Ovis aries: one gene and its partners. The protein of the gene in region 6 interacts with the protein of the main gene of each other region in a pairwise test. Links are inferred from orthologs where the notes say so. Each region holds a gene or a part of one and is shown on either strand. Other genes may lie near its edges. The genes, in order: TMEM115, APOA2, ALG3, ADTRP, BCL2L1, CREB3 and ORMDL1.

Evidence for each region.
Region 1: the proteins of CREB3 (region 6) and TMEM115 interact in a two-hybrid assay, tested with the Homo sapiens proteins (2 studies listed by BioGRID and IntAct). The two-hybrid records come from large-scale screens. The link is inferred for Ovis aries from reciprocal best matches to the Homo sapiens genes CREB3 and TMEM115.
Region 2: the proteins of CREB3 (region 6) and APOA2 interact in a two-hybrid assay, tested with the Homo sapiens proteins (3 studies listed by BioGRID and IntAct). The link is inferred for Ovis aries from reciprocal best matches to the Homo sapiens genes CREB3 and APOA2.
Region 3: the proteins of CREB3 (region 6) and ALG3 interact in binary tests that used the Homo sapiens proteins (3 or more experiments, as listed by UniProt). The link is inferred for Ovis aries from reciprocal best matches to the Homo sapiens genes CREB3 and ALG3.
Region 4: the proteins of CREB3 (region 6) and ADTRP interact in a two-hybrid assay, tested with the Homo sapiens proteins (2 studies listed by BioGRID and IntAct). The two-hybrid records come from large-scale screens. The link is inferred for Ovis aries from reciprocal best matches to the Homo sapiens genes CREB3 and ADTRP.
Region 5: the proteins of CREB3 (region 6) and BCL2L1 interact in a two-hybrid assay, tested with the Homo sapiens proteins (2 studies listed by BioGRID and IntAct). The two-hybrid records come from large-scale screens. The link is inferred for Ovis aries from reciprocal best matches to the Homo sapiens genes CREB3 and BCL2L1.
Region 7: the proteins of CREB3 (region 6) and ORMDL1 interact in a two-hybrid assay, tested with the Homo sapiens proteins (2 studies listed by BioGRID and IntAct). The two-hybrid records come from large-scale screens. The link is inferred for Ovis aries from reciprocal best matches to the Homo sapiens genes CREB3 and ORMDL1.

The regions. Positions count from the first base shown.
Region 1 is NC_056072.1:50,040,172-50,044,302, forward strand, and holds the start of TMEM115 (transmembrane protein 115), read left to right. Parts: upstream 1-1,331; 5' UTR 1,332-1,762; coding exon 1,763-2,613; intron 2,614-4,131. UniProt on the Homo sapiens protein: May play a role in retrograde transport of proteins from the Golgi to the endoplasmic reticulum. May indirectly play a role in protein glycosylation in the Golgi.
Region 2 is NC_056054.1:112,658,664-112,661,921, forward strand, and holds APOA2 (apolipoprotein A-II), read right to left. Parts: upstream 1,759-3,258; 5' UTR 1,727-1,758; intron 1,572-1,726; 5' UTR 1,548-1,571; coding exon 1,496-1,547; exon of another isoform or gene 1,235-1,495; coding exon 1,102-1,234; exon of another isoform or gene 736-1,101; coding exon 618-735; 3' UTR 501-617; downstream 1-500. UniProt on the Homo sapiens protein: May stabilize HDL (high density lipoprotein) structure by its association with lipids, and affect the HDL metabolism.
Region 3 is NC_056054.1:203,711,449-203,715,703, reverse strand, and holds the start of ALG3 (dol-P-Man:Man(5)GlcNAc(2)-PP-Dol alpha-1,3-mannosyltransferase), read right to left. Parts: upstream 2,801-4,255; 5' UTR 2,779-2,800; coding exon 2,583-2,778; intron 676-2,582; coding exon 576-675; intron 483-575; coding exon 335-482; intron 226-334; coding exon 65-225; intron 1-64. Other genes in the region: ECE2 (endothelin-converting enzyme 2), read left to right, coding at 3,737-3,932. UniProt on the Homo sapiens protein: Dol-P-Man:Man(5)GlcNAc(2)-PP-Dol alpha-1,3-mannosyltransferase that operates in the biosynthetic pathway of dolichol-linked oligosaccharides, the glycan precursors employed in protein asparagine (N)-glycosylation.
Region 4 is NC_056073.1:43,811,480-43,815,779, reverse strand, and holds the start of ADTRP (androgen-dependent TFPI-regulating protein), read right to left. Parts: upstream 2,801-4,300; 5' UTR 2,671-2,800; coding exon 2,518-2,670; exon of another isoform or gene 1-2,517. UniProt on the Homo sapiens protein: Hydrolyzes bioactive fatty-acid esters of hydroxy-fatty acids (FAHFAs), but not other major classes of lipids. Show a preference for FAHFAs with branching distal from the carboxylate head group of the lipids.
Region 5 is NC_056066.1:60,937,206-60,941,333, forward strand, and holds the start of BCL2L1 (bcl-2-like protein 1), read right to left. Parts: upstream 2,801-4,128; 5' UTR 2,761-2,800; coding exon 2,197-2,760; intron 1-2,196. UniProt on the Homo sapiens protein: Potent inhibitor of cell death. Inhibits activation of caspases. Appears to regulate cell death by blocking the voltage-dependent anion channel (VDAC) by binding to it and preventing the release of the caspase activator, CYC1, from the mitochondrial membrane.
Region 6 is NC_056055.1:52,808,428-52,812,501, forward strand, and holds the start of CREB3 (cyclic AMP-responsive element-binding protein 3), read right to left. Parts: upstream 2,801-4,074; 5' UTR 2,655-2,800; coding exon 2,517-2,654; intron 2,402-2,516; coding exon 2,254-2,401; intron 2,179-2,253; coding exon 2,111-2,178; intron 2,000-2,110; coding exon 1,910-1,999; intron 439-1,909; coding exon 332-438; intron 224-331; coding exon 155-223; intron 1-154. UniProt on the Homo sapiens protein: Endoplasmic reticulum (ER)-bound sequence-specific transcription factor that directly binds DNA and activates transcription. Plays a role in the unfolded protein response (UPR), promoting cell survival versus ER stress-induced apoptotic cell death.
Region 7 is NC_056055.1:119,574,570-119,578,562, forward strand, and holds the start of ORMDL1 (ORM1-like protein 1), read left to right. Parts: upstream 1-1,193; 5' UTR 1,194-1,467; coding exon 1,468-1,490; intron 1,491-2,827; coding exon 2,828-3,008; intron 3,009-3,993. UniProt on the Homo sapiens protein: Plays an essential role in the homeostatic regulation of sphingolipid de novo biosynthesis by modulating the activity of the serine palmitoyltransferase (SPT) in response to ceramide levels.

The DNA of each region.
Region 1 (4,131 bases), on a different chromosome or scaffold from region 6:
ACCTTTCCTCACCCTCCACAATGGTTGGCCACATAGCAAAGACTAGCAGTCCCTGAGACAGCTCCCATGCTCGGCAACAGCCCCAGAGGTCCTGGGTTAGATCTGCCATGTGAAATACAGAACATCTAATCTGACTGGGATTTCAGATAATTAATATTTTTTAGTATGTTCCCAACATTGCATGGGACATAACTATAAAAATTGGAGTCACATGTATCCTGAAAAAATTGTTTATCTGAAATTCAAATCTCATTGGCCTGTATTTTGATTTGCTAAATCTAGCAACCCTACCCCTGCGTAGCATCCAGCGGGAACCCAGACCCCAAAGTTAAGGCATAGCAACACGTGTGATTTGGAAGACTATGCACACATCAGCAGTTGTACTGCTGGTGGAAAGGAAGGGATTCTGTACTTTTAAAATGTGCTTTGTTACATAATTAATTATATGCACATTTTAAAAATCCAGTTTTGCACAGGTAGCTTCAGGTGGCTGCTTGAAGCCACCACTGCAGTGAGACAGGGGTCCAAGGCCAGCCTGATTCAAGTTTGTGTGGAGAGACCTCTCCATCAGGATCATCCATTGACTGGGTGAGGAAGAGTCATTGAGAGAGGTCCTGCCTCACCCCTTTTGGGGCTGGAGACCGGAGTTCAAGTGTGGGCTCCACCTCACTTGTACACAAGGGCAGCATGGGCAGCACACTCGCTGAGCAACCAGGGTGGACTGCATTTTACATCCCAGTCCCCTTGGATCCTCACGGTAGGTCCCGTCATCATCTCCATTCAACGGTCCATGAAACTGAGTTTCAATAAAGTTCGGGAATTTGGCCAATGCCACGCATCCGTCAGATGACAGAGCAAGAATTCCAACCTGGGTCAGGCATACACCCGACCGTGGAAGTTCCAGGAGTTCGCGCCCGGTCATCCAACATTCTTAACTCGCACACCTGCCTACAAGGACACACCCACTCAGATGTACGGTCAGACATGGAGCCACGCCTCCCGGGAAATTCAGAAAGTGCATGGCGTGCAGCTGTGCAGCCGCTGGTTCTCGCGGCTCTCCAGAGGTCATTCGCCTTCCCCCCACGTCTGGAGAACCGGCGACCACGGTCCTGAGCACTACAACTCCCAAGCACACCCGCCTCTCCCGCCGCACAGCCTCCTGGGACTTGTTCTACCCAGAGCCCTGATCGCCGCAGGTCCCAGTGTGGCCGAGGACTTCATGTCCCAGCATGCCGCGGAGCCGCAAGGCCGACGCTCAGAGGGCTTCCTGCCTCCGTCGGGGGCGCGCAGGCGCAGCGCCCTGTTTGTCGGCGCCTGAGAAGGGAGGAGGTACTGTCGAAACCGAGACCGAGGCCGAGGCGGAGCTGACCAGACTTGACTCCGGCCCAGAACTAGTCTCCGCGCCGCGCGGACCGTAAGAGGCCCCAGAGTGGATGGAGGAGATCGAGCCCTGAGATCACCGCCAGCCCGGTCGGCGCTGTGGCCACACAGGGCGGGCGGGCAGGCGGTGGTGCCTAAGCTGCTCGGGGCCTTTCCTCAGATTCCCCGTCGAGGGGCCTAGGCCCCGGCCCCGCGACCGACCAGGCCCGGCTCTGCCCTTTGGGACCGGAGTCGACCCGACCGGAAGTAGAAGCCTTCACCGGGGCCATAGGCCAGTGACTAGGTCGGGCCCGGGCCTCCCGTCGGGGCCGGACTGGGAAGAGGCCCCGGGGAGGCCCCTAGCCCACTAAACCCTTCCCTCAGGCCAACGCCCGCGAAGAAGATGCAGCGCGCCCTACCGGGCGCCCGCCAACACTTGGGGGCCATTCTGTCCAGCGCCAGTGTGGTGGTGAAGGCTCTGTGCGCGGCGGTACTATTTCTGTATCTGCTGTCCTTCGCCGTGGACACGGGCTGCCTGGCGGTCACCCCAGGCTACCTCTTTCCGCCCAACTTCTGGATCTGGACCCTGGCTACCCATGGGTTGATGGAACAGCATGTGTGGGATGTGGCCATCAGCCTGGCCACCGTAGTGGTAGCTGGACGTTTGCTGGAGCCCCTCTGGGGGGCCTTGGAGCTGCTCATCTTCTTCTCAGTGGTGAACGTGTCTGTGGGGCTACTGGGGGCCTTCGCCTACCTCCTCACCTACATGGCTTCCTTCAACTTGGTCTACCTTTTCACTGTCCGCATCCACGGCGCCCTGGGCTTCCTAGGTGGTGTCCTGGTGGCACTCAAGCAAACCATGGGGGACTGTGTGGTCCTGCGAGTGCCCCAGGTGCGTGTCAGTGTGGTGCCCATGCTGCTGTTGGGGCTGCTGCTGCTGCTGCGGCTGGCCACACTGCTCCAGAGCCCGGCACTGGCCTCCTATGGCTTTGGGCTGATCTCCAGTTGGGTGTATCTTCGCTTCTACCAGCGCCATAGCCGAGGCCGAGGGGACATGGCCGACCACTTTGCTTTCGCCACCTTCTTCCCCGAGATCCTGCAGCCTGTGGTGAGCCTGCTGGCAAACCTGGTGCATGGCCTCCTGGTCAAAGTAAAGATATGCCAGAAGACAGTGAAGCGCTATGATGTGGGCGCCCCATCCTCCATTACCATCAGCCTCCCAGGCACAGACCCTCAAGATGCAGAGCGGAGAAGGTACTGTGAAATCTTCCAAAACCTTGTTGAGCTAGGAGAATCTTACAGATCAGGTCACATTCCATCTTTTGAGGTGCTTGCTTGCTGTATGTAGGCTGGCAGCTGTATGCAGGCTTACAGTAAGATGTTGGGGGCAGACTCAGAGAAAATCCAGTTTGTGGCCTTGATCTCAACACTTCGGTATCTGGGCTGCATACGTTGCTTTCCAAAATTAGGGAGTAAAAGTTGTCTTTCTCACCACTCAGGGTGCTTAAGTTTCAAGAAACGCCCTGCTTCCTTTTGAACTGTGTGAGGACTAGTGGAGAGCCAGGTACATATAAGCCTGGCCTTGTCTCAGAATCTTGGCATTCTTGACACTGGTCCTGTGGGAGCCAGAAGCAACCCGCTGGTCCTTTTTCCCCTGTGAGAGAGGGACAGGGAAGGAGACCTGGGATCCTTCTGAGGTGGTTGGGGCCACCCCAGTTTCCAAGTGCTGGACTCCACCCTCTTCCTGGGCCTTAAATTCAGATGTCGTGCTTCTTTGCAGCTTATTTATTAACAGGGAAGCCTGGGGTATAACTAGACTTAGACAACCACTGGCCCATGTACACCGACTCTGGCAGGCATGTGTCACCAAACCCAGGGGACAGCCACGTGACCCACCGAGGGAGCCTGCTGACCACACCAGGGAATGGAGACAGCCTTTTCATTATCTGTAAACCAAGCCATCTGCACCATCAGGAGTCTCAGCTGAATTATTCACTTACTGCACCTTGGCCAGGGCAAGACAGATCTTTTTTTAATCCATTTCTTTCTCTCTCCCAGGCCTATGGACTCACCAGAGTGGGCACAGCTCTGTTTCTAACATTATTCTTGAGTGGTTTTTGTTGTTGTTTGCGTTTTTGTTTTTTTATGCAATTACTTGAATTGTGAAATCTAGAGCAGGTTCTGTTCCAACTCTGTGCATTTGTAAAAGGCTTCTGCTTTTGCATACCTGTGAGATGAGTTCTTAGCAGGCAACTTTACAAATTCAGCTGGACTTGTTCCAGTGCTTCCTCTCCACTGGGGCTTTGGCGTGTGGGACACACCCCTCTCCTGAAGGAGTTTCCAACTAGAGAAGGCCAGATTACTGTGGCCCAAGGTGCCAGGTGTTAGTACACATGGCATGCCACAGAGCTTGATTGTGGGCCTTACAGTTTGTGTCTCCGTGGCTCTCAATCCTAGAGACTGAGTTCTTTATTAATCTTTAACCTTAACTGGTGGAGGAGATGCAGCCAGAAGGGCTGGGCCTAGTGGAAACTGAACTGTTCTCAGAGATGTTCGGGTGATCCCAGTCCACAGTGGTGGCCCCTCCTCTAGTGAGAAATCTTGGATTGTTAGGGTTGGCTGGACATTCGAAAAAACTTCACAGCCCCAAGAAACTGGACAGTGGGAGGCATGTTGGGGTGTGGTGTCAGGAAGGGGGTTCCTGGCATAGCCTTGTGGTTGTTACCTTGCTTCGGGATAGGGGTCACTTTACCAAGCAGTTTGATCTCTTGC
Region 2 (3,258 bases), on a different chromosome or scaffold from region 6:
ATTCCAGTATTCTGGCCTGGAGAATTAAAGAGTTGCACATGACTGAGGGACTTTCACTTTCTTTTCAGGGGAGAAGCACAGTGTCCCCTGGCTCAGAATGGAGGGGAGGGGCCTTGGGTGACACCTCTGGGCTCATTTGGGGAAGCTTTCTCCTCTTCATAGTGTGGTAGAGGAAATTCTGAGGGGTGCTCTCATTTCCCATGACCTCTAGGAGTCTAGGGATTCAGATTATGAATTTTTTGTGCCTTTCAAGGTACCATGTCCAAGGCAAAGTCTCTCTAGGGCCTTCCCAGGCCTGTAAAAAGATTCCCTGGGTTTGGAGAAGAGTCACCAGCGCCTCCCACTCTGTCATTTCCATCACTGGTCTCGTGAACCCTTTCTCCACCCCTTCACACCAAAACCCTTTCCTGTTAGAAGCAGATTTCTCTTTGTTTTTCGTCCTGCTCTTCCCCGACAACCCTTATTTCTCCTGGTTCCCCAAAACAGACCAGGCTCACAACTTAATTCCTGCAAAGTTTATTGTAGAAAACAAGGAGTGGGTAGGGAGAGGAGTCTCAGGCCTGGCCAGTGGGTGTTCCAGGGACGAACAAGGGGTGGGAGGCCCGGGTCTGCACACCTCAGCGGGCGGCAGGCTGCTTTTTGGGGTCTATAAAACTGCTCAAGAAGTTAAGCAGGTCAGTCCCAGCCTTCTTGAACAGGGGCGTCAGTTCCTCCTGCGTCTTCTCAAAGTAGGCCCTGGCAACGTGAGGGGTTAGAAATGAGGGTGAGGGACGGGTACTGGCCTTCTTGTGGTGGGAGGTGAGACCCAAGGCCCCAAACCCTAGTGCCTGGTCTGTCCTGGCACGGTGAAGCTCCTAGGAGGGGAGGCGAGTTCTCAACTGGGCAGAGGAACAGAGAGAGAAATTCGAAGCCCAGTTCCTGCTGCCCCTCCCTGTCGAGGAGGTCTGAGGGATCTGTAGGGTGATGATGGCATTTCCTCTACAATTAAACCTCATCCTCCCGAGCCCCCCACCCCTGAGCTCAGTGCCCTGTGGGATCTCTGAACTTCGCCTCCTGCTCTCCACAGCCCCCTGGTCCCTGAACCCCTTTGCTGAGACTTACTTGGCTTGGGTTTGAAGCTCTGAGCCCTTGGCCTTCTCCACGAGGTCCTTGCCATAGTCGGCCACAGTCTGGAAGTACTGAGAGACCAGGCTCTGCAGATTTGGCTCCTCAGCCTGTCTCCGAACCAGAGCCCCTGTACATACACAGAAACACACACACGCACACTCTCAGTTGAGCCCTCAGCAATGAGTCCCACATCTCTGCCAGTATTCAGCCTCAGCTCTCAGCCCTCTCCCCAAACAGGTATCCAACTCCAGGTCTTTGGATGGGTTTTCTGGGCTTTAGAGAGGGGATGATTTTCCTTTTAAGCTCTCTGGTTGCCAGACCTGGGCATAGGAGCACAGACAGTGGGGCACCTTCTCCTCCTTGAGACCCCTCTTCAGCTCACACCCACCTTCAAGGCCACAGATGGTCAGGAGCAGCACAGTCAATGCAAGCAGCTTCATGGTGTTGACGGCAGGGAAAGTGGCCTGTGAACAGTTGGGGGCAGGGGAGGTCACTGACGCTGCATGGGCTTCCCCCTTCCCCTGCGACCTGCTCCCTACACGTCCACTCCAACCCGGCTCCCTCCTGTTCTACCTGAAGTCTGTGGACACCACCCTCGCCTCTTACTCCCTTACTGTACCTGGTCAGGGATGCTGTCCTCGCCGTCTGTCTGGCCTGGCCGAGGAGGCAGGGGCTATATATCTCTGTGCTTCCCCACTCCACCCCGTCAGGTGATAAGGACTTTGGAGGAGTCCAGTGGGGCAGGGACTATGCTGGAGTAAACAAGTTAGAGAAGTTAGGGGAGGAAAGGCCAGCATGTAGGAGAGCCTGGTGATGGGGTCGGAGGGAGGGCCTTAATGGATGCCAAGGGGATACGTTTTAGTCCTATTCAAGACTCATTCCTTTGGGGCCTGGGACCAGTAGTCCTTGGATCTGAATCCTTCAGTAAGCAGGACTTCTAGGGTTTTCTTCTCTTTTTTCCTGGAAAACTTTGATGTATCAGATCTGACGACCTCAGCCGTTGGTATCTTCGTACCATTATGGGTAAATTTCATCTCCCAACCCTACCCCCATTCACTGAAACTTGGCAGAGAGGTATTGGGGGACAGAAAAAAAGCAATAAAATCAGGGACAGGGATGAGGGGAATGCAGGTTAGGAGAATGAGGATTAGGGCCAGAGGCCAGGTGTGATCGACTCTGTACTTTTTTGAGTTAATGTGTAATGAATGAGATGGGGGAGAAAACACTAGAACCAGAATGACCTTCCTGAGTGCAGATCAGCAAGCACAGCCCACCCCCAATAAAACAAATTCAGAAAGCAGCTGCTGCCCACCCAACGCACCTTCCCCCACCCCCCCACCCCCATCATTGGCGTGCTCTGGCAGGATAAAGGTTGAAGGTCTCTGGGCATTTGATCCCCTTATCAGTTCCAGGCAGTGGTCAGCCAATACAAGTCAGCAGGGGCCATAACATCTCTCCGACCAAGGTCCTGGCCCTTGTCCCTGTCCTGATTGTGAGGGAGGACAGAGATGCACTCCCCAGGCCCAAGGCCTTTGGGTGAAATCAGCTAAATAGAGATCACAAGTATTTGTATCTTTCATCCTTTGACCTCTTCCTGAGAGATAGGAGTGGTGATATGAGAGCTAGTAGAGGAGGCGACCAGAGCCTAAGAAATTTTATTCTATCTTATACTATTCCCCTGTGGAGCACTTGGTGCTTGAAGGGGAGCTCCATTGATTTGTCCCTGGCTTTGGAGTGGAGTGCATTTGAGGGCAGGAGCCTGTATTTCTCGATTTTATTTGCCAACTCTGCCTAGGGAAACTTTTCACTTTCTTTCCTAGGGAACCAGGGAAGGAAAGATCAACTGCAGAGGTCATGTGTTTCAGGGACTACTTCTGCTGGAACTCAGGTTGCAGCCCCTGCTCCTCTACCCCAAACTCTCACACCCATTCCCTTTCTACAGAGAGGACAAGAGGGTAAACTTTAAAAGGTTTGGACCTCTAGGAGGGAGGGTGGGTCCCTTTTCCTACGAAGAGCTGTACCTATGAGTGGAATTCATCTGAGGGTGTACTGTGTACTGTGAAGGACTGCGAAGTGGAGTCCCCAGGGGTTCGTACGGGTCTGGGTGGGGGCGGGGCCCCTAGGAGAGATATGAATCAGTGTTCGAAAGAA
Region 3 (4,255 bases), on a different chromosome or scaffold from region 6:
ACTGGGGAGAAAATGATGGAAATACAGAAAATGAAAGAAGGGTCCACCAGGGAGGGGTGTTGACCTGAAACAGCAGCAGCCCCAGCTCCAATGCTGGGCGAGCAGGAGGTTGACACTGAGGAAGAGCAGCAGCATGGCCACTGGATCATTGAAGAGCCGCAGCACAAAGATGGAGTGGACACGATAAGAGGCACAGCACATGAAGAAAAAGACGAAGGGAGGTACCTGAGAGGTGGGCACAGTGGGGGACAAGGTCAGTTCACCAACCCTGAACCGTCCCCACTCCCCAGACCTCCCAGCTTGGGGGGCCCTGCTCCTGGTGGTGAGAACTCACCTTGCAGGTCTGGTGGTAAATCAAGAAGACAAGCAGCAAAGTGGCCAGGTAGAGCACAGCAAAGATGTGCTGGGCCATGCGGATGTCAGTGCCTCGGTCAGTGGCATAGTAAAGCCCCATAAAGATGTACACAAAGCCAGCTGGGTACCTGGAAGAGAAGGAACATGAGCCCAGGTCAAGCTATTCAGCCTGTCATCCAGCCAGCCCCTCCCATCCTCACTGAACCTCCGACCCCACTCACACGAGAGGTCCAGTGTCACCTTGCAGTTGAGTGTAGTCATAGGTGCCATTGATGACGCCCTCTACCTCAGCCATGTAGGCTTTCCAATCAATCTCTGTATCTGCAAAAGGACAGGATGACGTGATTACTTCACGGTCCAGAATTGCTCTGCCTCGCTCCATCAAAGCACAGAGTTTCAGCTCATTCTTGGGATTTCTATCATAATCCCATCTCTAACTGATCTATTCTCTGCACGAACCCAGGTATCTCAAAATCAAACATGTCTGTAATGGAACTCAGAACTTTCCACTCCAAATGTGGTCCCCTTCCTGGATTCCATGAATGGCACCATTAACCTCTCACTTGCCCAAGTCACAAACCTGGGAAACATCCTTGATACTTTTCTTTCATTTCCAACCCTCAGTCACCAAGTCCTGCCTATTCTTCATCCTAAATATCTGTCTCATCCTTCTCCGCTCAATTGGGTGTAACAATCTCTAGCCTCAATGGTGCAATAGCTCCCTAATTAGGCTCCCAGCTTCCACTTTCACTGCACTACATTTTATTGTCCACCCTGCAACCAGAGAGCTCATCCTATAATAGAAACATCACATTTCTCTGCTTAAAACCCTTCAGTGATTCCCCACTGCTCTTAGATAATAAAGACCAAGTTTTTTTTATTATTCCCATTTTTAGAAGAGAAAACTATGAATTAATGAGATTAAGTAACTAGCTCAAGATCAGTAAGCTAGGAAGGGAAGAGTTGGGATTGGCACACATGGAGCTCTAAATTCTTTTTATTTTTTTCTTGAGCTCTAAATTCTTAATCATCATACTATCTCCTTAACACAGCTTAGAGATACCTTCATGATGTGAAATCTCATCTCTTAATACTACCCTCACTTGATTTCTGTGTTCCAACTCTAATTATTTCATTTCTTCAAAGGAAGCAGACTTTCTCTTTTTCAATGGGAGCTCTTTGGAACAGGATTCTCTCCTAGAGTATAATCTGCCCCCCACCCCTTTCTCTCTTTCCTTGGGGAACTAGCTCTTATTGTTGGAAAAGGACTCTAGGAAGCCTTCTCTGACTCCTCAAGTCTGGCTGAAGTGCCCACCTTTGTCCATTATAGAACTTTGTCTAGTACCATTATGATGAATATAATGTAATGTAATTTTCTGTTAACTTATCTTTGTCCAGGTCCGCATACACAAGTAGGAAATCTGTCTATCTTTTTCACCACTATACCCTTGGCACCTAGTATGGTGTTAGCAATATAATAAGCACTTAGTAAATATGTAGTGAACTAACTGTCTTTAGCAAGTAAGCTTTAAATCCAGTGCTTTCTGCCTGGAGAGGAGTGACCAATAATGCCGAGCTGACTGTAACAAAATGCTATCACAGAGAAAATACTTCGAGACCTCAAAATTCAACAGATGAGGAGACTGAGACCCAGCAAGGGATATGACGTGTCCAAAGCCATAGAGACAAGCAGCAGCTGCTGCTGCTGCTGCTGCTGCTGCTGCTGCTGCTGCTGCTGCTGCTAAGTCGCTTCAGTCGTGTCCGACTCTGTGCGATCCCAGAGACGCCTCCTACCAGGCTCCCCCGTCCCTGGGATTCTCCAGGCAAGAACACTGGAGTGGGCTGCCATTTCCTTCTCCAATGCATGAAACTGAAAAGTTAAAGTGAAGTCGCTAGTCGTGTCCGACTCTTAGCGACCGCATGGACTGCAGCCTACCAGGCTCCTCCGTCCATGGGATTTTCCAGGCAAGAGTACTGGAGTGGGGTGTCATTGCCTTCTCCGCAGAAAAGCAGCAGCAGCCATTAATTTGGACCCAGGTTTTCTGGGGAAGATTAAGATCGAGTTTGGTTTTCTGTGGAGCAGACTTTGGATTTGGGTAAAAGATATTGGTCTGCAATTGATGGCTGAGTGGATCAGGGGTTTAAGTTTGAGTTCCGAATGTGGGTCCCAGTTTTTATTGGGGGTTCGGTCTCCCTTCCCCTCTTCCCCTCCCCCTCGGCGCACTCACATGCCACCCTGTGAATGACCCAGAAGGTGATGCCCACCTCCGCCAGGCAGAGGCAGGCGGCCAGCAGCAGCGTGTAGCGCGGTTCCAGCAGCAGTAGGCGCCGCTCTTGCCAGGCGCGCCGCAGCCACTGCCCGCACAGTCCAGCTGCCCGGGTTGCAGGACCCGCCCGGCCGCGTTTCCGCAGGCCTGCCGCCATCTTGCCGGTGCGCCGCTCTTGTGGGCCCGCTACCCCGGAAGCCCGACTCTTTGGTACCTAGGTTCCGCTCCCAGCGCCACGTGTCGCAACGGACTGAGCGCAGACAGGAGTTGTGTGAGTCCTTGTTTACGACTCGAAAATTTCCTGCTTTCACATCTGTCTTCCCTGATGGAGTGCACACTCCATACGAGCAGGAATAGTCTTACTCCTCAGTACGTACTTAGCCCTGGGCGCAAAGGCGCTAATGTGAATCGAACGTTTGCCCAGAAAAGTAACGTTTCTTTCTGCCCGCGTCTTGTCTCTTCCGCAACTCCCCTCCCCACCCCTGCCCAGCATAACACTTCGCCCGTGTTGATATCTGCGTTCATGCCCCTCTTCCTTGGAGAGCAAGACCCGTGGCCGCACTACTCCCGCCACCCCTCAGAGCCTTCCAGGTGCTCAAAACTGGGAAGAAATGAATCTCTTATTAACATTCAGGCTTCTTAATGGAGAGAGCTTGTCAAACTGAAAATGAGGTGGGTAGTGACGACCCCGTTGGAGAAGGAAATGGCGACCCACTCCAGTGTTCTTGCCTGGAGAATCCCAGGGACTGGGGAGCCTGGTGGGCTGCCGTCTGTGGGGTCGCACAAAGTCGGACACGACTGAAGCGACTTAGCAGCAGCAGCAGTGACGACCCAGAATGTGTGACACCATGGGTGTGGCTCTCAGAAGTTAGTGAGCAGTGCATCCAGAGAATTCAGCGTATGGATAATACGACTTTCCCACCCGGAAGATTCTTTCCGGAGCGCTTAGCAGAGGACGGAAGTTCCACGTGTTTATGTTGAGCAACTGCAGATGCCCGGCGGAGACACAAAGGCCACGCCTCCCATATGCCACCATTCTCATTGGCTACATTGGAGCACCACGCCCCGCCTAGAGGTGGGGGCCAGTTGCCCTCACTGCCCGGCAGCCGCAAGCAATGGCTTGTCTGGGGCCTTCCGCACCGGTGCCGGAGTTACCCGAGAAGAACTGCGGGTACCGCGAGGTCCAGTACTGGGACCACCGATACCAGGGCGCTGCCGACTCTGCCCCCTACGAGTGGTTCGGAGACTTCTCTTCCTTCCGTGACCTCCTAGAGCCGGAGTTGCGGCCATTGGACCGTATCCTCGTGCTAGGTGGGTAGTTCCGGGGCTGCCCAGTCCAGGTGGAGCTGGTTGGATTGGCCCCGCCCTCGCTCTGCCTGCCGCTCTCCGAGGACACTCCAGTCAGAAGTCAGGATCCAGTACCTTTAGAATCTCGGCAGTATTTCGCCGGGGCAAACAGGAGCGAAGAGATTCTTAGTCCCGGGACCTTCAGGGGAAAGACAGTCTCTCTGAGTCTGAAGGTGGTAGGTGATCCATGACCCCGTTACGAACTTTGGGGAGGCCGCCTCGAGCACTGGCGAGTTCAGAGGACCTAGTTCAAGTCCCAGCGCTAGTTGACTATGATTTAGGACAAA
Region 4 (4,300 bases), on a different chromosome or scaffold from region 6:
ATTATTCTAATTCTACAAAATCATTTTTTTGTTATTGTTTTCTGTTTACTTGTTTTCATAAAATTCTATGATTGAAACAGGCAGTCACCTTGATATTTTTCAAGCATGGTAGAGCTGTACTCAGGCTTCCTAGGTGGCACTAGTGGTAAAGAACCTGCCTGCAATGCAGTAGACAAGGGTTTGATCCCTGGGTCGGGAAGATCCCCTGGATGGGGGCATGGCAACCCACTCCAGTATTCTTGCCTGGAGAATCCCACAGACAGAGGAGCCTGGGGGCTACAGTCCATAGGTTTGCAAAGAGTTGGACATGACTGAATCGACTTAGAATGCTCAGAGCTCAAATCTCAAATTTCAGGTCCCAAAGTCAGATAACCAGTGAGGAGGAAGCTGAAATTCCAGGCCTCTGTGAACTGAGCTTTCTGAATTTCCTCTCCTTAGCATTACAGAGAGTCTTTTTTTTTTTTTTTCTTACCATGCATTACGTCTGCCTGGATTATGATGCCAAAGAATTGGAATCAAATACTTATATTGCACCCTAGATTTAGGTTAAAAATTCCAAAACTTAAATTAGCATCCCCAAAGGATACAGCATTCTTAGCTTTTAACTCTAAAAATAATGTTACATATTCCCCAAATGTTTTTTAGAAATCTATTTTTCTCCCGTTCACTTATACTTCATCATTTCATTCATCCCATTGTGGTCAGCTGGGCTAGGAAGAGAAGCAAGGAGCAAGCGATGTGATTGGTTTGTGGATGGTTGAAAATGTGCATTTGCCATTTGGTTGGGTGATTTGTCCTTTAAGATGGAGCCTGAGCCTATAAAAAACTTGAAGTGGGATCTGAACGTGGCAAAATGTATTTGCTTTTCTTAGATAAATCTGTTAGTCTGGGTGTGCTGTAAAATGGCATTATTCCTCCACTGGAAATTGCACTTCCTACACAACATACGCCACTCTGCCTTCCCTCACAGACTTCCCCAAGCAAAGTTCAAAATCTCTTCTGCATATGTTGTCAATGTCATCAGGAAACCATGAAACCATGACTTTAGTTCCTCGTTTAGGCTCATCTGAGAAGCACTTCAAGGTAAGATTATTTTTTTTACCCCTGAGAAGGAAGGATTTATTACCTGCAGCAAGTAAGGAGAACACTTGGGGATCTCTCATCAAGTAGTGTCTCCCCAAATAGCAAAACTGGGGAAGGTTTAAGCTAAAGGAACCTGCATATTCATGAGGGGGCTTGAACAGAGGAGAAATAAACATCCAATTGGGGCAAGGACTCGTGGACACAGTAGAGGAAGGAGCGGGCGGGACAAATTGAGAGAGTAGCATTGAAACATGGACATCACCAGTTGACAAAAGGATTGCTAGTGGGAAGCTGCTGTGTAACACAGGGAGCTCAGCCCGGAGCTCTGTGATAGCCTAGAGGGGTGATACGGGGGGAGTGGGAGGCAGATTCAAGAGGGAAGGGATATATGTATACATATATCTGATTCCAAAGACATGGCATCTGGTCCCATCACTTCATGGCAAATAGACGGGGAAACAGTGGAAACAGTGGCAGACTATTTTTTTGGGCTCCAAAATCACTGCAGATGGTGACTGCAGCCATGAAATAAAAAGACGCTTACTCCTTGGAAGAAAAGTTATGACCAACCTAGACAGCATGTTAAAAAGCAGAGACATTACTTTGCCAACAAAGGTCTGTCTAGTCAAAGCTATGGGTTTTGCAGTCGTCATGTATGGATGTGAGAGTTGGACTATAAAGAAAGCTGAGCGCCGAAGAATTGATGCTTTTGAACTGTGGTGTTGGAGAAGACTCTTGAGAGTCCCTTGGATTGCAAGGAGATCCAACCAGTCCATCCTGAAGGAGATCAGTCCTGAATGTTCATTGGAAGGACTGATGTTGAAGCTGAAATACCAATATTCTGGCCACCAGATGTGAAGAGCTGACTCATAGGAAAAGACCCTGATACTGGGAAAGATTGAAGGTGGGAGGAGAAGGGAACAACAGAGGATGAGATGGTTGGATGGCATCACCGACTCAATGGACATGAGTTTGAGTAAACCTTGGAAGTTGGTGATGGACAGGGAGGCCTGGAGTGCTGCAGTCCATGGGGTCACAAAGAGTTGGGCACGACTGAGCGACTGAACTGACTCTGACTAATATCTGATTCCAGCTGTAGTATGGCAGAACCCAACACAACATTGTAAAACAATTATCTTCCAGTTAAACCTTTTTTAAAAAGAACAATTTTTAATAATTTTTTTAAAAAAGAGATAAGATTCTTTTAAAAATAATTTTTAAAAGTGTTTCACAATTAGTCAACACAAGAGGTAACTATGGATAACTCCCAAAGTGGGTTTCTCAGAGCAAATTGCCAAATAAAAGAGAATGCCCAAACTCACAAACTATGAAGAAGAAAGATAATGGAATTTTGGACTGGATAAAATCAAAGGGTGTTAACGTTTAAGGCACTTATATGAGAGACAAATAGCTTGCTTCCTGATGCGTACTTACCAGATTAAGCAGTGTTAGGTACTTCCATTTTCCCCCCTTTTGAAAGATTAGGGATATCTGCGGATCCTTTCCTTCTAGTGAGATATAAAAGTTGAGGAAGATATACCAGCTCAAGACAAACAAGTGGTATACGCACGTAGACGTCCTCGTCATGGCTAGGTCTAAGCAGAGAGCCGTGAGCTGCTTCCTTCCAAAGTGCTTGTAACAGCTGACGTCCTAGGGCAGGCGGGAGACGGAGCGCTGTAAAATACACCCCTCTGAGACTGACAACTCCAACACAGCTGGGAAGCTCTGCTTGTGCTTGTCAGTATTTAGGCTTTGAAGAGGGCAGGGAGCCATGATGCAAGAAGTGCCCTTTGCACTATTTGGCTAGGGTGGGGCATGATTCAACAACCTCATTGGTAAGTCAAGTCTAGTGAAATACCGTCACGGCCAAATACTCTCTTTTCTACCCTTTCCTTTGGGGAAAGGAAAGCGTGAGAAAGTTGCCGTAATATATCCTGAGAGAATGAGAATGAGGTTGGCAAACCTGCTGGAAGAGATCGTGGGTACGTTTAGCACACAGACGGGAGTAACTAGAAATGGGAAGGGTGTTGTAATCTTGTTCTGAAGGTCTCTGAGGCCCTCTGAAATCTAAAATAACCTTTGATCCTCTATCGATCAGCCCCAGGGTTTTAGCTGCCCCTCCCCCATCCCACAGATTTTTATCTGTATCCTAGAAAACCAAGAGTTACTGAGAGCTGTCCCACACACTCTATTTGCATAGGGATTTCTATTCCCTGGGAGGAAAGAAGTACAGCAAGAGGTCTGTAGCCAGAGAACAGGAAGAGACGTGTGGCCCTAACCCCAACAAACCTGAGTTCGGACACCGCTGGGAGGGAATGAGGGTCTCTGCATTGTCTTGGAGTGGACAAGAACATGCTCAGGCTGGGCTAAGTTTTCAGAACTGGGCCCTGCCACAGGCCCGACAGAGGGGACCTCAGAGAGGTCTGGAAGTGTCTACCTTGTGACATCACCAGCTCGTTTCCCCCGGGCAACTGGCTCCAAGGGTTCTGAGCAGATCCCTAAGGGAAGTGCCCCTGGTGCAGTTGGTAAGTCTGGAGTGGGCGGTGCTCGGTGATTTAATCAGAGCTCACAGGAACTAGGGGAAAGAATAGCAGGCACAGGATCCCAAACATCAGGCGCTAAGCACGAGGGAAGAGCAAGCCTGAGCCAACAGTATAGGGTCTGCATTGGAAGCATTCTCAAAGGAAAGGGTAGTCTGGGAAATGAGAAATATAAAATCCCACACACAGGTCCACAGCCTAAGTTAACACCGAATATAATAATATTGCCTAATATAGTACTTACCATGTGGGAGGTATTGTTCCGAGTGCTTTGTGCAACACTCTAAACACTGCTATCAACTATGTTCTGTTGTAACCCTCACTTTCAGATGAGGAAATTGAAGCCCAAGCTGAATACATTCAACAGAAACTAAGAGGCAGGTTGAGTTGCAGTCTGAACCCTAACCAGAGTGAAGTGAAAGTCGCTCAGTTGTGTCCAAGTCTGCGACCCCATGGACGGTAGCCCACCAGGCTCCTCTGTCCGTGGGGATTCTCCAGGCCAGAATACTGGAATGAGTAGCCGTTCCCTTCTCTGGGGAATCTTCCCAATCCAGGTATCGAACCCAAGTCTCCCGCATGGCAGGTGGATTCTTTACCCTCTGAGCCATCATGCCTGACCACAAAGGAACCATACTTGCTCTGTACACCCTCAGACGCCCTTTGCAATATTTCTCCAG
Region 5 (4,128 bases), on a different chromosome or scaffold from region 6:
CCAGTGTGCAGCTCAAACAGAATGGTCCCCGAGAGGAAGTGGGCGGCACCTTCTACCCAAAGGATCCCAGTGTCACATGTTCTCTATCTCCTGGCCTCGGGAAGAACACGTGCCCAGAAACGGTTCTGATATAACTGGCTCTTCTGCACACATCCCCTCTGTCCACCAAGAGGAAGTAACACATGGTATGCTGTTGGGCAAAGAGACAGCAGAAGATGGAATGTCAATCCAGTGGTGATCTAATGATCTTGCCCAGTGTTGCTGTGTCAAAGACCTCTTTCCACACGCAACACTGGGTGACTAACAACTCTCTGGTCCAGGTGGCCCTCTTAGACAACTGGCTGGCAGGCCAGGAACCTCTCCCATGTTGCCTTTTGTTAACAGTTGGCCACAACCCACATGGAATTAGGACCACCAGCCAGAGATAACAGTGAGGGGCAAATGGCCCAAGTCTCTACTTAGGCCTCAGAGGGTGTGTCAGAAACGCTGGAATCCTGTCCCTCCTGTAGTAAGTTAAACAAATATTTGCCCCTAAAGAAAATCAAAGCAGGAGGGAAAAAGAGAGGTCATCACACAAACCAACAGGAACTATTTAATCATTTATTCCCCCAGGGAGTTCATTTACTGAAAGGCTTTCAAGTTGGGTCAGTCTGAGCCAAAGAAAGCCCTCCACCTTTACCTTCCCAGCCCCACCCCGGTCATCTGACCTCTACTCTGCTCTTTATAAGAACTGGCAGTGGGAAGAGTTGATGAAGTTGCAAAGAAATGGGAAATAAGACAGGGGGTGGTGTACCTGGAGGTCCCTTGCTCAGTGGTAAACTGAAGTGGCTGCCACACCCTAGGCCCAGCCTCTGGATAATTGCATTCTTAACATTCCTGAGTCCATGGTGCGTGGCCCTTTCCACCTCAGCTCCTTCAATAGATGACTTATTTTCCACAGCCTGCTCAATTTTCTGAAGGACAGAATGAATACCTCTCTTAAGCCCTACACCTCCCTGAGGCAGGGAGATAAGCGAGGAGATATGACTGAGTTCACTGCAAGAGAGCAAAAGCTGCTGACAGTGACCACAGGTAAAGAATCCCTCCACACCAGCTCATCCTGACTTGGTGATATCAGGGCAAGGGAATTCTCTTCCCTGGCAAAGGAATGAGGCACGACTCAGTTTCAGAAGGTGTACCTGGATCTGACAGTAACTACTAGAGCAAACTTCCTGTCACTATGCTCACATCAGCTCCAAGATTTACAAGGACTGCAAGGCAAGAGGGTTGGCCACATTTTTTTAGTGGAAGAACCTGAGGCTCAAGGTAAACTGGCCTGTCCAAGGTCACACACCTAGTTAAGTGACAGGGCTGGGACTCACATCTGTGTCAGTTTGTTTCTGAAGTCTGTCACTGAATCTCAATGTCCCAAGGAGCCCCAAAGATCAGGTTCTTGCATTGCCAGCAAACAGTGCTCAGTGAAGAGGCCCCAGGGCCATGGCAGAAAAGTGACAAGCATAACAGCTGGAGCTCCCCAACCAACCCAGGCAGTGAGGTGCAAAGTCCCTGGGCTGACAGCAAGCGCTCCGCAAACTGGCCAACCACACAGAAAAGTCGCATACTTTAGAGCCAATAAATATGGGGCACAGCACAAACACAACTGGCCCATTGGCGCAGCTTACAACCTAAAATCAGACAATCCTCAGCCATCCAGAGGGATGCAAAGCCAGGCCATGCAAACTCTGAAATAAGGGGAACCTGATTTGGAGGAGGGAAGCCCAGGACAGGATTGACAGCTCAAGGGAGTAAGACTGAAGGGGCTGGTGGGTCACTGATATTCACTATCTTCTCCAGGCATTCCACTCATCACCCCTTAACGTTGTGAGCCATTATGTCAGGGTGAGGGGTAACCTGTTACCTTTGCATTCTCAAAGGTTTGGGGCCAAATGAACACACAGGCTATGTTATCTTCTGCAGAGAAACTGGAACACAAGTATGACAGAGTAGGGTCACGAGGAAGACCAGAATGAAGATGTCTGGTCCTCACAGAACTAGGTCATCTGTATTTCAGAAGTTAACCTCTGTGATACAAAGAGGCCAGTTATGTCTCCTTAACAAACAATAATAATCACCCAGCACAACAGACACAGGGGAAAGGTTGTTGGGGATTTGACCAGAAGCCAAGGAAAAGGAATACATAAGGGGCGTGGTTCTTACCCAGCCGCCGTTCTCCTGGATCCAAGGCTCTAGGTGGTCATTCAGGTAAGTAGCCATCCAAGTTGCGATCCGACTCACCAATACCTGCATCTCCTTGTCTACGCTTTCCACGCACAGTGCCCCACCGAAGGAGAAAAAGGCCACAATGCGACCCCAGTTCACCCCGTCCCGGAAGAGTTCATTCACTACCTGTTCAAAGCTCTGATATGCTGTCCCTGGGGTGATGTGGAGCTGGGACGTCAGGTCGCTGAATGCCCGTCGGTACCTCAGTTCAAACTCATCGCCTGCCTCCCTCAGGGCTTGCTTCACCGCTGCCATGGGGATCACTTCCCGGGCATCCAAGCTTCTGCTGTGGCCGGTGGCTCCATTCACCGCAGGGCTATCCGCCAGGTGCCAAGATGGGTTGCCATTGATGGCACTGGGGGTTTCCATATCTGATTCTGTCCCTTCTGGGGCCTCAGTTCTGTTCTCTTCCACATCACTAAACTGACTCCAGCTGTATCCTTTCTGGGAAAGCTTGTAAGAGAGAAAGTCAACCACCAGCTCCCGGTTGCTCTGAGACATTTTTATAATAAGGATGGGCTCCACCAGTCCATTGTCCAAAACACCTGCTCACTCACTGGGTCTGGTCTCTGCTTAGTGGTTCTCTTCGAAGATCCAAAGGCAAGACAAGGTTCTGAAGGGAAAGAAAGAGCTTCAGGGGGGAAAAAATGAATATGCAAGCCATTTACCTACAATATCCCATTCCCCACTCCAGGTACTTGAACTGGGTTCTCTGCCGCTCTTATGAAGATATGGGTCTAGCTTCCCAGGTACTTCGATGAAGTCAATTTGAAAGCACCAGTGGGCTCTGAATCATCACACCGGCCTTTTTTTCCTCCCCTTTTATCCCAGCCACCCCCTTTTCTCTGAAATGTCTTCCTCGAAAAGTCACCCCCATGGGCAGTCTGCCCCCCACCCCCATAAACCCTCACCACCTACATTCAAATCCGTCTCAGGCGACGGCAGGCAGGTGCAGCCCCCGGAAGATCTTTTGTATCATAGGTGGGAGAGGAGGTGGCAGCGGGGATGCCGGTAAGTCAACCGGCCTCGCGGCGGCGGCTGGCAAAAAAAGCAGCTCCGGCTGGAGGGATCATGCGACCCGGCGAACTGAGAGCTCAGGAGGCGACACAGGAATTACGAAGCTCAAGAACCGGCCCCCTCGCTTGCTTCCTCCTCCATCGCCCCGATCGAGGGCGGCCGCTGCCGCGGCCTCCTGCCACCCGGGAGCCCAGCCCCCTCGCTCTTGCACGCCCCTTGGCTCTCCGCCTCCTACTGGGAGCTAGGAGAACTCTCTCGGAGGTGGCTGGTGTGAGCTTTAGTTTTTTTTTTTTTTTTTTTCTATTTCAGTATCAGCCCTGGGTGAGGCTTCCGAAGAAACCTTGAAGGGACTTCTCGATGGGGCTCAAGGTTTCGATGAGAAACAGAGGGAGGGGAACACTGCCTTGGATCTGCGGTCTGAGTTTGGAAAGGCCATCCCCGGGCCTTTCTGGGAGGCTGAAAGCCGGAGACCCCCCAGAAACGCCGCTGGCTTTCTTTGAATTCCCCAAAGGCCCTGGTAGTGGCGGTGGCAGTGGGGGATTGCCGGGTCCTCCATTCCCCGCACGGACACAATGGCCGCCGGCGCCCTGCACAAAGACCGGGCGAGGGTGAGGCGCCGAGCCTCTCCACCGGTCAGAGACAAGGGTCGAGGCCTGCTCGAGACCCCCCACAGCTGAGACTACGTTTTCCTGGGGACAGGCCCAGGCTGGCTTCTTGGCACCCCCGGGAGCTTAGGGGCCCGGGGTTGCACCTCTCTAGAGGCCGGGGTGGGTGGGCTGCGGCCTCGCGGCTTCCTCCGCGCGCTAGGCCGGGTACCCGCCTGGCCACCGCCCCGTTGCTAGGCAACCGCTC
Region 6 (4,074 bases):
CTGTGAGCTTCATGGAATCAGAGACCCACTAAAGACCAAGCATCAGACATATGTGAGAGATGCCCGGTGACAAATCAAATATGGAGCAGGAGAAAGACTGAGACAGTAGTAAGCGGGAGGGATGAGCAAACCCTGATGTGAAAGAGCTGCTTACAGATTCTGTTCCTCCAGGAGCTGTACTTTGTTCTGTAGCTCCAGATTCTGGGCTGTGTATTTCAGGACCCTGGAGGAATAACAGGGATGTGGGGACATGGCCTGTATCCTCCCTTCAAAAACCTCACACTTCCAATTACCTGTTTCTCCCACCCCCGAGTCCAGCTCCCTTTCATACCTGCTTTCTAAACCCCCCACATACACCTTCTTCTTCCTACGGCTCTCTTGAGCAGACTTTTTGTTTCGAATCTTCCTCCGCACTCGTTTCAGGACTTGTTCCTCCATCTGGGAGAAGACAGGAAAAGGGATCCCATCAGAGGAACATTAGACCAAAGAGTTTGAAGGCAACCGAGTTCAATCTTCTCAAAGCAGAGATTCCTTCTACAATTTCCCTGACCAATAGGCACTCTGCTTCTGTCTGAATGCTTCTGTCCTCACAAGCCAAACCATTGTAACAATTTTGTTAGATAATTTTTTTTTAAAACCTTCCTTATGAGCCAACATCTGCCTTTGTTATTTCTACCTGTTGGACTTACCTAGCACCTAATCTCTGGGGCCATAATAGAACAAAGGTCTTCAGCTATTTTAAAGCACTTGGCATTTCTTCAGAGTTAAAAAAAAAAAAAAAAACTGGGCAAAAATTTTAACTCATCATCTTATCTCTTCTCAGGATGGACTGCATCTTCTTAATATCTGTCAAAGATAATAGGCTCAAAACTTAAGAAGCTTTTTGGCCAATGTAAAAGAAAACAAGATAGTTACTGCCCTTCTAGTGGCAACACTATTAGATAACTGGTATCTGATGATACAACTGGGCTTCCCCAGTGCCTCAGCAGTAAAGAATCTGCCTACAATGCAGGCGACTCAGGAAACACAGGTTCCATCCCTGGGTTGGGATGATCCCCTGGAGAAGGAAATTGCAACGTACTCCAGTATTCTTGTCTGGGAAATCCCATGGACAGAGGAGTTTGGGGGCCATAGTCCATGGAATTACAAAGAGTTGGACACGACTTAGCGACCAAACAACAACAACTAAATCTGATGATACAGCTTCTAAACCCCATTCTCTTCCTTAGTAGCCATATCACACTGTTGACTCAACTTGTACTTTTTTTTGGCCACACCTCGCACTTGTGGAATCTCAGTTCCCAGACCAGGGGATTGCACCCTGGTGCAGACCAGGATTGCACCCTGACCCTGAGCAGTGAAAGCACAGAGTCCTAACCACTGGATTGCCAGGGGATTGCCTCAACTTATATTTTTGAGAAATTAAAATTGTTAACCTTTCTGTTAACAGACATTGATTTCATCATAGTATCACAATACTGTGCATGTGAAACTGCCTCTCATTGCTTGAAACTCCAAATTTCACATTTACTCTTGTTATACTACTTAATTGTTATACTACTTGTTATACTACTCTAATACTTGATTTACTATTCAGCTACAAGTAAATTGCATGAAACCAGTGAAATATAAGTATCAGAGCCCCGCGCTTGTACAGTACTTTCCAAATCCCTTTACTAATATTACCCTGATAATTTTGAATTCTTAGTTAAAAAGAACACCAAAATTTATAAAAGCACTACAAACCAGGATCTGTCCTTGCAAGCAGTATACTAACCACATGCCCCAGCTTCCTACTCAAAAATGTGCTAATCTCTCACCTCAATTCTTTTTCAAGTTACTGATACAAAATTAACAGAACTGGCCTACTTGGAACTCACAACCCCCGTCCCCGCGATGGGAGACTTACCTTAGTGAGTGGAAGCATCCCAGGCAAAGTAAGCCCCTCCTTCTCCAACAGCCTTTTCTCCTCCTCAGTCAGTATCAGCCTAGCAATCTCCTGCGGTTCCGGAGAGATGGGCAGCAGAGTTGCAAAGGGATTTCAGAAAGTAACGCGGAATACTGCCCCGACCCGCGCAATACGGAAATAACCCTCCTATAAGTCAAGTACCTGATCTGCCGGCTCCTCCACACACAGTGGAGTCATCTGAGTCCCCTCTTTTCCATAGCTCTCATTATCTGCAAAAGGGAAAATATGAGTAGTCAGGCCTCGGAGTCCTCTCCTTTCCCAAACTTCACTTATTTCAGGCTTACCTAGATCTATGGAGACATGCTCTTGTGAGAGAGAATAGGTGTGGTCATGCTGGACAAGACAGGAGTTAGAGCTGCTGAAAACGTTCAACGATGATGGGGGACTCGGCAGGCAGCTCAGGAAATCCTCCACGTCCCAATCGCTCAGAGACTGCACAGGGTTCAAATTGACAGGCTTTGACCATCACCACCCCCTGCCTCAGGGACACCCCTACCCCGCCCACAAACCCGCCTCACGCCTCCCCGACTCAGAGCCCCCCACTCGCCTCAGAAAGTGGCAGCTCCCAATCCGGCGGAGACGCCAAGGCCTCGTCGGGCGCCGCACCCAAACCACCGCTTTCCTCTAGCAGAAAGCCTAGCAGGTCACGGTCACCCGGGTCCAACGCCAGCTCCATATGAGACATTTATGGAAAAGATGCGCAGAAACACAGGAGTTCACCTCGCCACCCGGACCCTATCCCCAACCAGGCGTAACCGCGACGGACTGTCAGTCGGCCCCACCTATCGGCTCTTCAGCGGCGTTTTCCTCCTAGCTGCTGGCGAAGGCTCTGAAACCGGGACACGCCTTCCAGACTCCACTCCCCGCTAGACTTCCAACAGAACACAAGTGACGCACCTACCCGCGAGGCATGCCGGGAGTTGGAGTCCCCCACCCCACCCCGACGCGGAGGCTGCCGCTGTACGCGCCACGTCCAGGGCGCGATGCAAATAGAGGGGACGTGCCTTCCGCCTCCGCAGTCCCTGAGGGCGGGCATTCTGAGGAAGCGGCTCCGCCCCGGGCTAGAAAAAGGAAGGATTACAGCCTAAAAGGGAACTAGGGCGCAGTTCTGGCGCTTCCTCGGGACTGCACCGCACCCTCGCTTCCGGCTGGGGAGGGGCTGCCGGTCGTCAGCGGGCTCCCGAGCATCGAGAGCTGGGGCCAGAGCAGCTTCCTGCAGTGCCCGCGACCATAGAGCGCGGGCCCAGGGCGCCGCCCGCGGGTGGGGGACGTTCCCGGGACGGAAGTGGCCGAGAGTGTCGAAGGGAGGGCGAGGCCGCAGCCCGAGAGCCACCGGGAGAACGAGCGGGTTAGCGGGCCGGCGGGCGGGGCACAGAGCCGGGCAGCGCAGGTAGGCCGGACCGGGCGAACTGGGGCCTCAGGGTGGGGCCGCGACACCAGGCCTGGGAGGCGGGCGGGCAGGGCCCCTGACTTCTGCGTCTGTTTCGGGTCATCTTGGAGAGGTTCGCGTCCGGTGTATCTCTGCTTGTGCTCTGAGTTAAATAGGCAGTTTTTCGGCAGCCAGGCCCTTCCTGGAGCAGTCCTCGGCCTAGGATAGTTTAGAGGGAGGGTGAGGAGTGGGTGGCAGTGTGACGCAGGGCGGGGATCGGCTTTGAGGTTAGCTGATAGCGGGTACGTGAGCAGGAATGGGTGAGTTGGAGATTAGGTGGAGTTGGGTTTTAGGAGTTAAGGTTAGCTTTAGGAGTGTGCAGCTGGGGTTAAAATTTAGATTTATTAGTGTGAGGTGCGTTTTGTGTAGGTGAGGTTTGGATTAAGGGCATTATTTTGTTTTCTATAACGACCAACATTAGAGTTCAGGTTAAGGGTCAACAACAGAAACTAAGTTAGAAGTCCAGATTTAGGGATTAGAGAAGGTTAGCATAGCCAGTACAGGGGATAAACAAGAAAGGGGTGAATCAGGAATCAAGTGACAAATGAACTTTAGGTTTAGGGATGAAGATTCAGGGTTAAAGGTCCAGAGTTGATGCTACAGGTAAAAATTAGATCAAAATTAGGGATCAGGGATTGGATTCAGGTATGTGGTAGGACAGGGATGCCTGTCAAAT
Region 7 (3,993 bases), about 67 Mb from region 6:
TTCCTGGCTAGGGAAGATGCTCTGGAAAATGAAATGGCAACCCACTCCAGTATTGCCTGGAAAACACCATGGACAGAGGAGCCTGGCAGGTTACAGTCCATGGGGTCACAAAGGGTTGGTCACGACTTGACAACTAAGCAACCACGCATATATATAGTCCACCTTCTCTTACACCAATTTTGAAATGCCCACTGAAAGTTATTTCAGCATTACAAATAAACTCTGTGTATTGCGAAGGTAATAAAATTCAACTTCAAAGATAACTACAAATAATCTGATTTTTTTCCTCTTTTATCTTGAATAAGATCAATTCTCAAAGGAATTCCCAGGCGGTCCAGTGGTTAGGATTTCACTTCGCTACCAAGGTCCGGGTTCAATCCCTTGTTGGGAACCAAGGATTCCACAAGCCTCCCTGCAACCCACGGGGAGCGGCAAAATAAATAATCCCTTGGAACCCATATTTCCTCAGCAAACAAGTACCCGTCTTCTGCGTGTAGAGAGACCCAGAATGACCTAAGTAAAAATCATCGCCAACCGAAAAGTTTGCTTGCCCCACTTGCATGATGCTACTACATACAATATCACGAAGCCTACCCTCACACTCAAAGACAGGCTGAATTATGGCTGTCCGGAGGTAAAATTCTGCCCGGCAAACTTTAAGACCTGCACTCACAAGGATCTGAGGAGTGGGCTGAGACACCGTTTAGTCAAGAAAGCCCAGACACTACGGAGGCCCGCAGCTGGTGGGAGGCCGCTACCCGCGTGTGCGCGCCCGCGAGCGCCGCTGCGCCTGCTTCCCGCTCCGCGAGTGGAGAGGGGGAGGGGCGCCCCCGGCGGCCCCCGGTGCTCGCGCCAGACCAGGACCAGGTCAGAGGAGGCCGCTCTCGAGCCTACAATGTAACAATGAATGCCCGTTGGCCACACGACACTACCTGCTTGCTCGCGCGACGTGGGCAATTACAATCCACTAGCGGACCGGCCAGCGTCCCGACGGGAGCCCGGGCCCGGCCTCGCTGAGTCCCGACTCACCCACAGCGCGCGCGGGGCGGGGCACACACGGAGCGCACCGCCCTCAGTCCCGCCCAGTCCGGCGAACGTGGGATTGGCGCCGCCCTCAGCCAATCCCCGGGCAGCGCTTTCCGCAAGGAGCGCTTCCGCCAGCCGCGCCGCGCGGCGCGGCGCTGAGGCTGACCACTCGCATCCGGCCTGAGGAGACGCCGCCTTCGCCTCCGCGGCGCTGGTATTGTTTCTGTCCGGCCGCCGGGAGTGGGGCGGCGGGTGAGTGGCCACGAACGGCCGCAGGGGCTGGGATGCTGCCTGTGCCGTGGGGAGCTTCTAGCAGGCCCTCGGCTTGAGGGGAAAGGTGGACTTTGGCTCCATCCGCAGCGCCCCGTCTGGCGATGCGGGCCAAGTGGCCCCCAGGACTTGCTCCCCAAATCCTCGTCGTCGCGTCCCGGCCGTGACGGGATGTGCAGCTCCGAGAAGAAAGGGTGGGGAGTCGGGGCGGTTTGGCGATAGCACAGCGGCTTTTGCTGAGCTTCCACTACCCGGGAGCTCCGGCCGCTGGGGAAGGCTGCCCTTGGCTGTGTAGCGGGCGGTCGCTGGGTTCCCTGCATCCGCGAGGGCAGCGCCGAGAGGGTTCTTTGCTCTGTGAAGTCATTGTTTGCTAGTCCTGAAGTGGCGCGGCAGACTCCCTGGAAAGGTTTTCTGCCCTGGGGTAGGATCAGTCTTCGCCTTCCGCCTCAGATGTAGATTTTAAGGTCTTTCGAGCATTTAAAAAAAAAAAAAAAATCTGTCGAAAGTGGGAAAAGCACCCTGTGTGGTGGCATGTTCTAAGTACAATTTATAGCGTATAAAAATTATATATTATGTACGGTGGATATTTAGACTGGAAGACATATTTACACGTTTAAATTTGAGACTGACTTGATGATTTTAGTGTAACTTTCATCACCGTAAGCCTATAGATTTTTGGAGGGAGAGGGCCATTGTACTCTGAAAATACTTGTTGGATGGAGTTAGGATAAATTTCTCTCTCAGTGCTGACTCTGTAATGAAAACGGTTTGTGTATTTTTAACTCAGCTGTTCCCAATACACTGTAGCACGCCCCCCCCACCCCCCAATCTCAGAAAGAAAAAAGGAAGGGGGAAGAAGGAAAGAGAAAAAAACAGTATTTTAGGGACGGTGACCAGAATTACAACGTGCAGAAGACAGACTCCTTGTTTTAACCTAATTGTATCACAAGATTGAGAGAGAAACCTCATCCTTTGACCATGTAAAATTTCCACCTCTTTGTGTTTCTCTCATTTTCAGTGTTCCTGAAGGAGTGATTTGAACTCTGACCACTCTATGGATACATTGTTAGGTGTAAGAGTCTGGCTACTCAGAACAGACTGGTTTAGTTTAACTTTGTTCTTTTTTGCATATTAGTTTATTCTGTTGGTGAACTTCCTGAATTTTCACTTTGCTCTCATGATATAAGAAAATGTAGGTTTTCTCTTTCAGTTTGAGGTTTCCTGCCCATTGTTTCATTTAGTAAAACCAACATGCTTGACGACAAGCTTTAGGAAAGGAATTTTAACTTTATTATTTTCAACAAGAAGCATAAAAATAAGTCTTGTCTGTCTTAGCTTAGAATAGGATGTGAATAACTATTGACCTCTTGGGGATGTGAAAGTAGCATATTTTGGAGGGTCTGTTCTATTTTAGAACGATGAGGAGGAAAAAAAGTAATCCCAGTAGCACACTTATTTTGTCATGTCAAAATTAGGAATATTTGAGTTTCCAGTTACATCAGTGTTGATTCATTTCATTGCTTTTCTACAGCGCAAACATGAATGTTGGCGTTGCCCACAGCGAGGTGAATCCGAATACCCGGGTAATGAACAGCCGTGGTATGTGGCTGACATATGCATTGGGAGTTGGCTTGCTTCACATTGTTTTACTCAGTATTCCCTTCTTCAGTGTTCCTGTTGCTTGGACTTTAACAAATGTTATACATAATCTGGTAAGAATTTCACCTTGTACTAAACACTTAAAACCTTAAGGTTTAATGATTTTTCAGAGACTGGGCGGGGAAAAATGGGGAGTTATTGTTCAATGGGTAATGTTTTGTAAGATGAAAAGTTCTGGAGATGGATGGTTGTAATGGTTACATAACATTGTGAATGTACTTAATACCGTAGAACTGTACACTTAAAAATGGTTAAGATGGCGTATTTATGTTATGTGTATTTAAACAATTTTTTAAGAACCTTAAAGTTTTATATTAAAAGAAAAACACATGACTCAGTTTTTAAACAAACAGTTATATAAAATTAAACCATTTATATAGTTCAGTGATTTTTTTGTATCTATGACAGTTTTGAAAAATTCTTATCTCAAATAAGATTATATTTTTGTATCACTTTATATTTAAACATTGGACCCTTTTTATAAGACCTTTTTTTTTCTTTCTGTTTTATAGAATCTGAAAAAAAAAGTCATTTTAGCAAAAATTACAAGATGCTTTAACTCAGACTACTATAATATATTGATTAACCAGAATGCATCAGAAGTAATTATGTTTTTTGGTTAACTAGAATCTAATGAACATCTTTGGTTTAAATCCTTGTTAAGTCTTTCTAAATTGTATAAATATACTTTTCTGTTTCAGTGTAGAAATTTTGAGTTTAATCTGTCTTAAATGATTCAAAAACTTATGGTGCCTTAGCTTCTTCCTGTTAACTATTGCTTTTGTATTATATGATAGCTCTACAAAGTACCAGAGATTAGACCGAATACTCTGGAAATTGCCTATTTAAAAACAAAAAACCTGATAGTGACTTTTTTTGTCTTTCACAAACTATTAAAATAGAATGAAAGGGGAGAAATCTAGTTATTTGAGACTTTTAGTTGAATCCAGATTAACTCTATTTGTTTAAAGATATATCCAAAATGAGAAACTTAGAACTAAAACAGAAAAGTGTAGGAGAAATAGATGTTTTTTAATT